Callithrix jacchus: one gene and its partner. Each later gene encodes a partner of the first gene's protein in a complex. Links are inferred from orthologs where the notes say so. Each region holds a gene or a part of one and is shown in the gene's direction. Other genes may lie near its edges.

Region 1 (3,641 bases):
CTAGGATGAGGCAGACTTCCGGGACAAGCTGAGCCCCATTGTGCTCAGCCTCAACGTGTCCCTGCCCTCCAAGGAGGCTGGAATAGCCCCTGCTGTCATGCTGCATGGAGACACCCACGTGCAGGAGCAGGTAGGGACAGGGACAGGCAGGGACAGGCAAGAGAGGTGCAGGACCCCTGACAGCAAGTCAGGATTAGGGTTAGTGCCATGTCATACTGTGAACCCCAAAACCTCAATGTCATTCCAAATCCTAATGAAAACCTCAAAATCTGGCCAGTCACAGTGGCTCACACCTCTAATCCCAGCACTTAAGGAGGCCGAGGAAGGCAGATCACCTGAGGTCAGAAGTTCAAGACCAGCCTGCCCAACATGGTGAAATCCCATCTCTACTAAAAATAAAAAAATTAGCCACGTGTGATGACACATGCCCATAATTCCAGCTACTTGGGAGGCTGAGGCAGGATAGTCACTTGAACCTGGGAGGCTTGCAGTGAGCAGAGATTGTGCCACTGCATTCCAGCCTAGGTGTCAGAGTGAGACTGTCTCAAAAAAAAAAAAAAAAACCCTCAAAATCCCAGTATCTCCTAAGCTCTGATGTAAATTGATAAACGCCAAAATTATCCCAAACCTCCAAATAAACCCCAGAGCCCTGATACCATCTCCAAACTCCCTTTTCGGCCTCAGATCTTCTTACTCCGTAAGCCCCTATGTGAACCCCCAAGCTCACTGTTTTCCTAACCCTGATGTAATCCCCAAACCTCACATGTCCCCAGCTTACTCACACACCCCAATGTGCCCCTCTAGACGAGAATCATCCTGGACTGCGGGGAAGATGACGTGTGTGTGCCCCAGCTTCAGCTCACTGCCAACATGTGAGGAGGCCTCCCACTCTGCCCAACCCTGGCCCTTTCTGCCCGTCATACCCACTCCCCACCTGAGTCGCCCTCTCCTCCCAGGCCCTGGGCCTGGACCCAGGGTCCCTGGCTTCATTCCTCTTTCCCCACAGGACCGGCTCCCCACTCCTAGTTGGAGCAGATAACGTCCTGGAGCTGCAGATGGACGCAGCCAACAAGGGCGAGGGGGCCTATGAAGCAGAGCTCACTGTGCACCTGCCCCAGGGGGCCCACTACATGCGGGCCCTCAGCAACGTCGAGGTGAGGCCCCCACCCTGGAGCAGTACCTGGGACCTGGGGGAGTGCTGCAGCCTCGGCTCTCTCATCTCCCTCCCTGAGAGTCCCTCTTCTCTCTTGCTTTGCTGTCAAAGATCTAATGTATTATTTTTTTAATTTGGAAAAGGAATCCTTGCTAATGGCACAGAATTCCAGAACTCTACTATAAAAACCAGAAAAACAAAAAAGGCTTAGGAACCAAATGTTAACAGGAACCTCTGTTCACCTGTGGTGGATTTCCTTCCAGTCTTTTTCTCAATATTGACCGGCACTCACATAAGTATATATTTATTTTTTATGTTTGTTAATGAAGTTTATAATAATGGGGACATACTCTAATGTTTTGTGTTTTTTATTTTCAAAATGAAAATTCATGAAAAGTAATAGTGCTACAGCAATGCATACACTAGCATGTGACAGTCCCCTGAGATCTCACCCCAAGAAACCTGCCTCCCTGCCTTGGCACACAAATCTCTCCAGACCTTCCAAGGGAGCTTAAATATATATATGATGCTCTGTAACCAACTTCTTTCTTGGGACTGCCTTCCTGAAGGGCTTTGAGAGACTCATCTGTAATCAGAAGAAGGAGAATGAGACCAGCGTGGTACTGTGTGAGCTGGGCAACCCCATGAAGAAGAACGCTCAGGTGAGGCTGCTGGGTCATGGTGCCAAGTCTCCACTGGGGACTCATGAACAACCAGATTTTAGGGGTGAGGTTTTAGAGCCATAGTTCTGGGCCAGAACCTTGGTCCTCACACCCCCTTGCCACATGTCCTTGGGTGAATGACTTTCCCTCTCTGAGCCCCTTTACCCAGTGGGCTTCCGAGTAAAATAGAAATAATAATGGTGACCTGCTGGGTGCAGTGGCTCATTCCTGTAATCCCAGCACTTTGGGAGGTCAAGGTGGGCGGATCACCTGAGGTTGGGAGTTCGAGACCAGCCTGGCCAATATAGTGAAACCCCCCCATCTCTACTAAAAATACAAAAATTAACTGGTTGTGGTGGGAGGCGCCTGTAATTCCAGCTACTTGGGAGGCTGAGGCAAGATAATCGCTTGAACCTGGGAGGTGGAGGTTGCAGTGAGCCAAGATCATGCCACTGCACTTCAGTCTAGGCGACAGTGTGAGACCTGCACTCCAGTCTAGGCGACAGTGTGAGACTCCATCTTGAAAAAAAAAAGAAAAAGAAAAAAATACTCATGGTGATGTTGGAGGGTGAGGACTGGAGTCCATGTTCAGGGCAGGGCTCCCTGAAGTGGGCATTTGGTCATCGATCTTGGCTCTCCTTGTCTCCCAGATAGGAATCGCGATGTTATTGAGTGTGGGGAATCTGGAAGAGGCTGTAGAGTCTGTGTCCTTCCAGCTGCAGATCCGGAGGTACTGACCTGGCAAGCACGCCTACCCACCTCCTTCCCCTGTCTGACCCCAAGCAGAGCCCCTCAGGTCCCTTCCATACAGAAGGGTCTTTCGAGGATGGGTACATTGACTCACACCTGTAATCCCAGCACTTTGAGAGGCCGAGGCAGGCGGATCACTGGCGAACAGGAGTTGGAGACCAACCTGGCCAACATGGTGGAACCCCATCTCTACTAAAAATACAAAAATTAAGGGGCCGGGCGCTGTGGCTCAAGCCTGTAATCCCAGCACTTTGGGAGGCCGAGGTGGGTGGATCACGAGGTCAAGAGATCGAGACCATCCTGGTCAACATGGTGAAACCCCGTCTCTACTAAAAATACAAAAATTAGCTGGGCATGGTGGCATGTGCCTGTAATCCCAGCTACTCAGGAGGCTGAGGCAGAAGAATTGCCTGAACCCAGGAGGTGGAGGTTGCGGTGAGTGAAGATCACGCCATTGCACTCCAGCCTGGGTAACAAGAGCGAAACTCCGTCTCAAAAAAAAAAAAAAAATATATATATATATATATATATATATATACACAAAAATTAGCATGGCGTGGTGGTGTGTGCCTACAATCCCAGCTACTCAGGAAGCTGAGGCAGGAGAATCACTTGAACCGAACCCAGGAGGTGGAGGTTGTGGTGAGCCGAGACTGGGCTACTGCACTCCAGCCTGGGTGACAGAGTGAGACTCCATCTCAAAAAAAGGGTCTTTTGAGAAAGCCCGGTTCCCTTTCTTCCTCAGAGACTGTGTCTGAGTCTTAGAGCCCTACAGGAAGTTCTTTCTCAAGTCTCACTCAGTGTGGCATGCTGTTTGTATAATTAGTTCTCTCGGAACTCTAAAATTCTGGCCTCATCCCCAGAGAGTCACTGGGCTGGTGTCCATGGCCCGGTTTCTCCTCATCCCCTCCCCTCTAGCAAGAACAGCCAGAATCCAAACAGCAAGATGGTGCTGCTGGAGGTGCCAGTCTGGGCAGAGGCCCAAGTGGAGCTTCGAGGGTGAGAGGCCAGGGGTGGAGAAGGGAGGTGGCAGAAGGGCTCTAAACTCCAGGGGGCGCTGGGGACCCCAACAGTCC
Region 2 (4,170 bases), about 16 Mb from region 1:
AAGGTGTACCCTAGTGTTTGAAAGGGTGGGGCTGGACGTGGGGGTTTGTCAGAAAAAATTACACGGAAAAGATGGCATCTGAGATGTTTTGAAAAACAAGTGGAATTTTCCAAGTGGAAAAAGGAAGGAAAATCAGTCAGATAGGAAGGCATGGAGCATTTGGGAATGACAAGTATCTTCTTGGACTAGGGTGGGAGATAGGCTGGAGGGACGGTTCAGGGTCAGTTGTCCAGCATCTTGTGTGTCTCAGAAGAGGGTGGGCATGCTAAGAGGTCATAGGGAAGCCCAGGGCCGCTCTGAAAGCCCTACAGGGGAAGTGATGCCTCAGGCCTTGTTTTTATCACCATCAGAGCTACCCATTGAGATGGGCTGCACTGCCCCAGCTACTTCCTGGTGGCCTCTTGCTCATAGCCATAGTATTTTGCCTCTCTGAGCTTCCAGATGTTTTAAGTCTGGGGAAGATCCAGGGGCCTAAAGAAAGACTAGGGTAGGAGTTAAGGGGCCACAGGTTGGAGGAGTCAGGCAGGAGGCCTTTGAGGGAAATAGATAAAGCCCCAAAGCCTGTGAGTGTGAATTTGGAGGTAATATGCTGACTGTTCTGAAACGTTTTCGACACTGGCTGGGTGCAAGCAAGTGCTTGTAGGGAGAGGCTCTTCGTTGACCTATCACTGCTTACACAAGCTTGGGATGTGGTTTTGTCCTCAACAGGCTTAAAGTTAAACGGAAAACCAAACTAAGGTAAGAAAAAAATTAGTGAATAATAATGGACTGAACCAGTTCAGAGAAGGCATTCAACAGATGTTTGTCAATCAAATGAATTACAGTGGGAATGAATGAAACTCGAGGTAGTGGGTGAATATGTCCCAAGAATCTAGGTGAAACAGAGCCCGGGGGCGTCTCCCAGGAGGTGAGACTGGAAGGGTAAAGAGAGGGGCCACAGGCTCCTGGCTTTTTTGAGCACACCAAGTGCCCAGTCGCAGATCCCCGGGACTAGGATGCGCTCACGACCTCCTCGAGGCCTGGGCGCCTCGCCGGCTGGCAGGCGGCTCCCCGTGGGCAAGGCGAGGGAGGCGGGAGCCGGCGGGCGGGGGGAGAAGAGGAGCCGCAGTTTCCCACTGCTCCCTGTCAGGGGCAGGGTCCAGAGAAGTCCTAGGGGAGGAAGCGCGAATCCGCGACCCGCCCCGTTGCGTCCCACCCACGGCGTCCCCTCCCCTCCGGCTGCGGGAAAAGCGGCCGCGGGCGGCGGCGCCCACTGTGGGGCGGGCGGAGCGCGGCGGGAGGCGGACGAGATGCGAGCGCGGCCGCGATCCCGGCCACTCTGGGCGACTGTGCTGGCGCTGGGGGCGCTGGCGGCCGTCGGTGTCGGAGGTGAGTGAGGCTCTGGCTCTGCGGGGAGCAGCTCCTCCAGGATCCGCGCCGCGGTTAACTTGCGGACTTGGAGCTGGGAAACCCGGAGAACTGGTCCTGCGCGTCTGCGCTCAGAATGTGCGGGTCCCGGCTGGGGCCGGAGCCGGGAGCCGTGGACCTTCCAGGCCAGGCAGTGGCGGGGCTGAAAGGTGTCTAGTGCCTAGGGGCGGGTCCTCCGGGACGCCGAAGCCCTCAGCCAGGCTCAGTGCCTTCCCCGCCGCCTCGGCGCGCACGGTGCGGTCAGAGCATCTTTGAGCCCCGCGATCAGCCCGGGCTGAGCGCCTCGCGGGTGGTCCCGGCCGGGCCAAGAACGACTGGCCCGGGAGCCAAGGCAAGGTGGGGCTTCCGGGGGTTGTTCCCGTGCCTTGGCAGGGGGATGCCGCTGTGGCTTTTTGGGTGAGAGCGTGCGCGCGCGCGCGCGTTTGCCAGTTTCCCCACATTTCCAGTTTCTCCTGGTGTTACGATTTCTCCAGAAGGTTTTTTCTTTTTCCTTTCTTTTTTTTTTTCTTCAACTTGGCTTCCTGTGAGATTGTTTTGGAGCAGGAAGAGGGCTTTGCCTCCTCCAGTTTTCCCGGGTGCCTCTGCTCCCGGGGCAGACCCTGCACCCGAAAAAATCTCTAGTGTATTCGGGGAGCCACGAAAAGACTCCCTTGAGCCGGTGGGATATCTGGCCTCGTCTCTGGCTGCTGCGCACACGGTCAGCCGTCAGGGCAGTCAGCTTTCGGCCGCGTTGGTGCTGGGGTGGAGGAATGGAGCCGGCACAGCCCGGGGTGCTGCTCGTGGTCCTCTCGGAGCCCTTGGTGATTTTGCCTGGGGTGGGGAGAAACCCTGGCTCCTGGTCCGCTGGGGCTGCCTCTGCCTCAGAGGATGACACAGAGTTCATGTAAGCATTTTTTTTTTTTTTTTTTTTTGAGACGGAGTTTTGCTCTTGTTACCCAGGCTGGAGTGCAATGGCGCGATCTCGGCTCACCGCAACCTCCGCCTCCTGGGTTCAGGCAATTCTCCTGCCTCAGCCTCCCGAGCAGCTGGGATTACAGGCACGCACCACCATGCCCAGCTAATTTTTTGTAATTTTAGTAGAGACGGGGTTTCACCATGTTGACCAGGATGGTCTCGATCTGTTGACCTCGTGATCCACCCGCCTCGGCCTCCCAAAGTGCTGGGATTACAGGCTTGAGCCACCGCGCCCGGCCGTAAGCATTTTTAATAAAAACTGTAGTACCCATAAAACCATCTAGACCCTGAAGAAGGGATTATTTTGTTTTATATTTTTTTGAGACAGAGTCTTACTGTGTCTTCCAGGCTTAGTGCAGTGATGCGTTCTCTGCTCACTGCAACTTCTGCCTCCTGGGTTTGAGCAATTATACTGCCTCAGCTTCCTTCGAGTAGCTGGGATTACAGGCGCCTGCCACCTCGCCTGGCTAACTTTTGTAGTTTTAGTAGAGACGGTGTTTCACCATGTTGGCCAGGTTGGTCTTGAACTCCTGGCCTCAAGTGATCCACCCACCTCGGCCTCTCAAAGTCCTGGGAATACAGGAGTGAGCCACCGCACCTGGCCAGGATTTCTTTTAAAAAGGGAAGATTTGTTGATAAGTTCACTTCAAAGATAAACGATTCGAAATAGTGATTCTCTTCAAGACTCTTCTGTGTATAGACGTATATCTTATCCTGGACAGGGCCAGGGTATCTTGAAGGAGGGATTACAGTTGTTGTATAGGGGAATATTGCAGTGGTTATTGTTGAACTTTTCATGTGATAGAGACTAAAACAGATCAGCTGGTAGGGTTAGCCTGCAGTGAACAGGCTGCTGACTGTGACGCGGAAATAGGAATCTCCAGCATTCTGCCCTGGGACATATGGAACCTTGTTTCAGATGCTTCTGGCTGTTGATGCAGGGAATGGAGAAATACACCAGGGCCGCTCAGCTGTCTCTTACAGAGATGCCTGCTTCCATGCAGTTACAACAATTTTTGCTGTCATTAAGCATTTCTTACTTTCACAGTGTTCTAAATTCACTTTTGAGTGTATTGGATTCTACTGCATTGTCACACCTAAGTTTGCATTAAAAGATCCTTTAAGATATCTGGTCAGGTGCTCGCTTAGGCAGCACATATACTAAAATTGGAACGATACAGAGAAGATTAGCATGGCCCCTGTGCAAGGATGACACGCAAATTCGTGAAGCGTTCCATATTTAAAAAAAAAAAAAAAGATATCTGGTCAGGCACAGTGGTTCATGCCTGTAATCCCAGCACTTTGGGAGGTGGAGGTAGGAGGATTGCTTGAGCCCAGGAGTTTGAAACCACCCTGGGCAACATAGTGAGACCTAATCTCTACTAAAAATAATAATTAAAATCCTTAGGAGATGGTTCACAGATTAATCTTGTGTTTGGGGCAATTCCAGAAGTGGTGATGGGTTGTGCTGAGCAAGCCCCACACTCTCTCTGAGAAGCTGCAGAGGGTAGTTTTTAAGGGCAGAGGCTCTAAAGTCAGACTTCCAGAGTACTACCCTGGCCCCAGCCCTGCAAAGCAGTTTCTACCATATTTATAACTGCCATCCCAGTTTTGGTGGCAGGGTCATCAGATCCCTGGGGGGAAGCAAGCAGTTGGTGGGAGTGGGTATGGGAATGGCACAGAAAGGTTGTCCCAGAGTAGCAGAGTGGAGCTCAGGCCACTAGTAGAAATGAAGGTGGGAGCAGGGAAATGACTCTGTTTAGGGAAACTGCCTATTCCCCATGTGGGAACTGCTGGCATTTATTGAAA

Evidence for each region.
Region 2: the proteins of ITGA2B (region 1) and ITGB3 are in contact, whole or in part, in a cryo-EM structure (PDB 8GCE), measured with the Homo sapiens proteins. The link is inferred for Callithrix jacchus from reciprocal best matches to the Homo sapiens genes ITGA2B and ITGB3. Residues at the interface, in NP_000410.2 of Homo sapiens: Gln49, Phe52, Arg72, Trp141, His143, Asn145, Glu152, Ala153, Glu154, Lys155, Pro157, Arg184, Phe191, Tyr197, Glu199, Phe202, Pro217, Tyr221, Phe222, Phe262, Asp263, Tyr265, Tyr268, Thr290, Trp293, Thr294, Gln315, Met316, Ala317, Tyr319; in NP_000203.2 of Homo sapiens: Ser188, Pro189, Tyr190, Tyr192, Ile193, Ser194, Pro195, Pro196, Tyr204, Asp205, Met206, Arg242, Asp243, Pro245, Lys279, His281, Ile282, Ala283, Leu284, Asp285, Arg287, Leu288, Ala289, Gly290, Val292, Gln293, Pro294, Asn295, Asp314, Tyr315.

The regions. Positions count from the first base shown.
Region 1 is NC_133506.1:71,216,398-71,220,038, reverse strand, and holds part of ITGA2B (integrin alpha-IIb), read left to right. Parts: intron 1-4; coding exon 5-130; intron 131-804; coding exon 805-872; intron 873-1,006; coding exon 1,007-1,154; intron 1,155-1,722; coding exon 1,723-1,815; intron 1,816-2,465; coding exon 2,466-2,545; intron 2,546-3,483; coding exon 3,484-3,564; intron 3,565-3,641. UniProt on the Homo sapiens protein: Integrin alpha-IIb/beta-3 is a receptor for fibronectin, fibrinogen, plasminogen, prothrombin, thrombospondin and vitronectin. It recognizes the sequence R-G-D in a wide array of ligands.
Region 2 is NC_133506.1:87,132,315-87,136,484, forward strand, and holds the start of ITGB3 (integrin beta-3), read left to right. Parts: upstream 1-1,254; 5' UTR 1,255-1,289; coding exon 1,290-1,368; intron 1,369-3,498; exon of another isoform or gene 3,499-3,605; intron 3,606-4,170. UniProt on the Homo sapiens protein: Integrin alpha-V/beta-3 (ITGAV:ITGB3) is a receptor for cytotactin, fibronectin, laminin, matrix metalloproteinase-2, osteopontin, osteomodulin, prothrombin, thrombospondin, vitronectin and von Willebrand factor.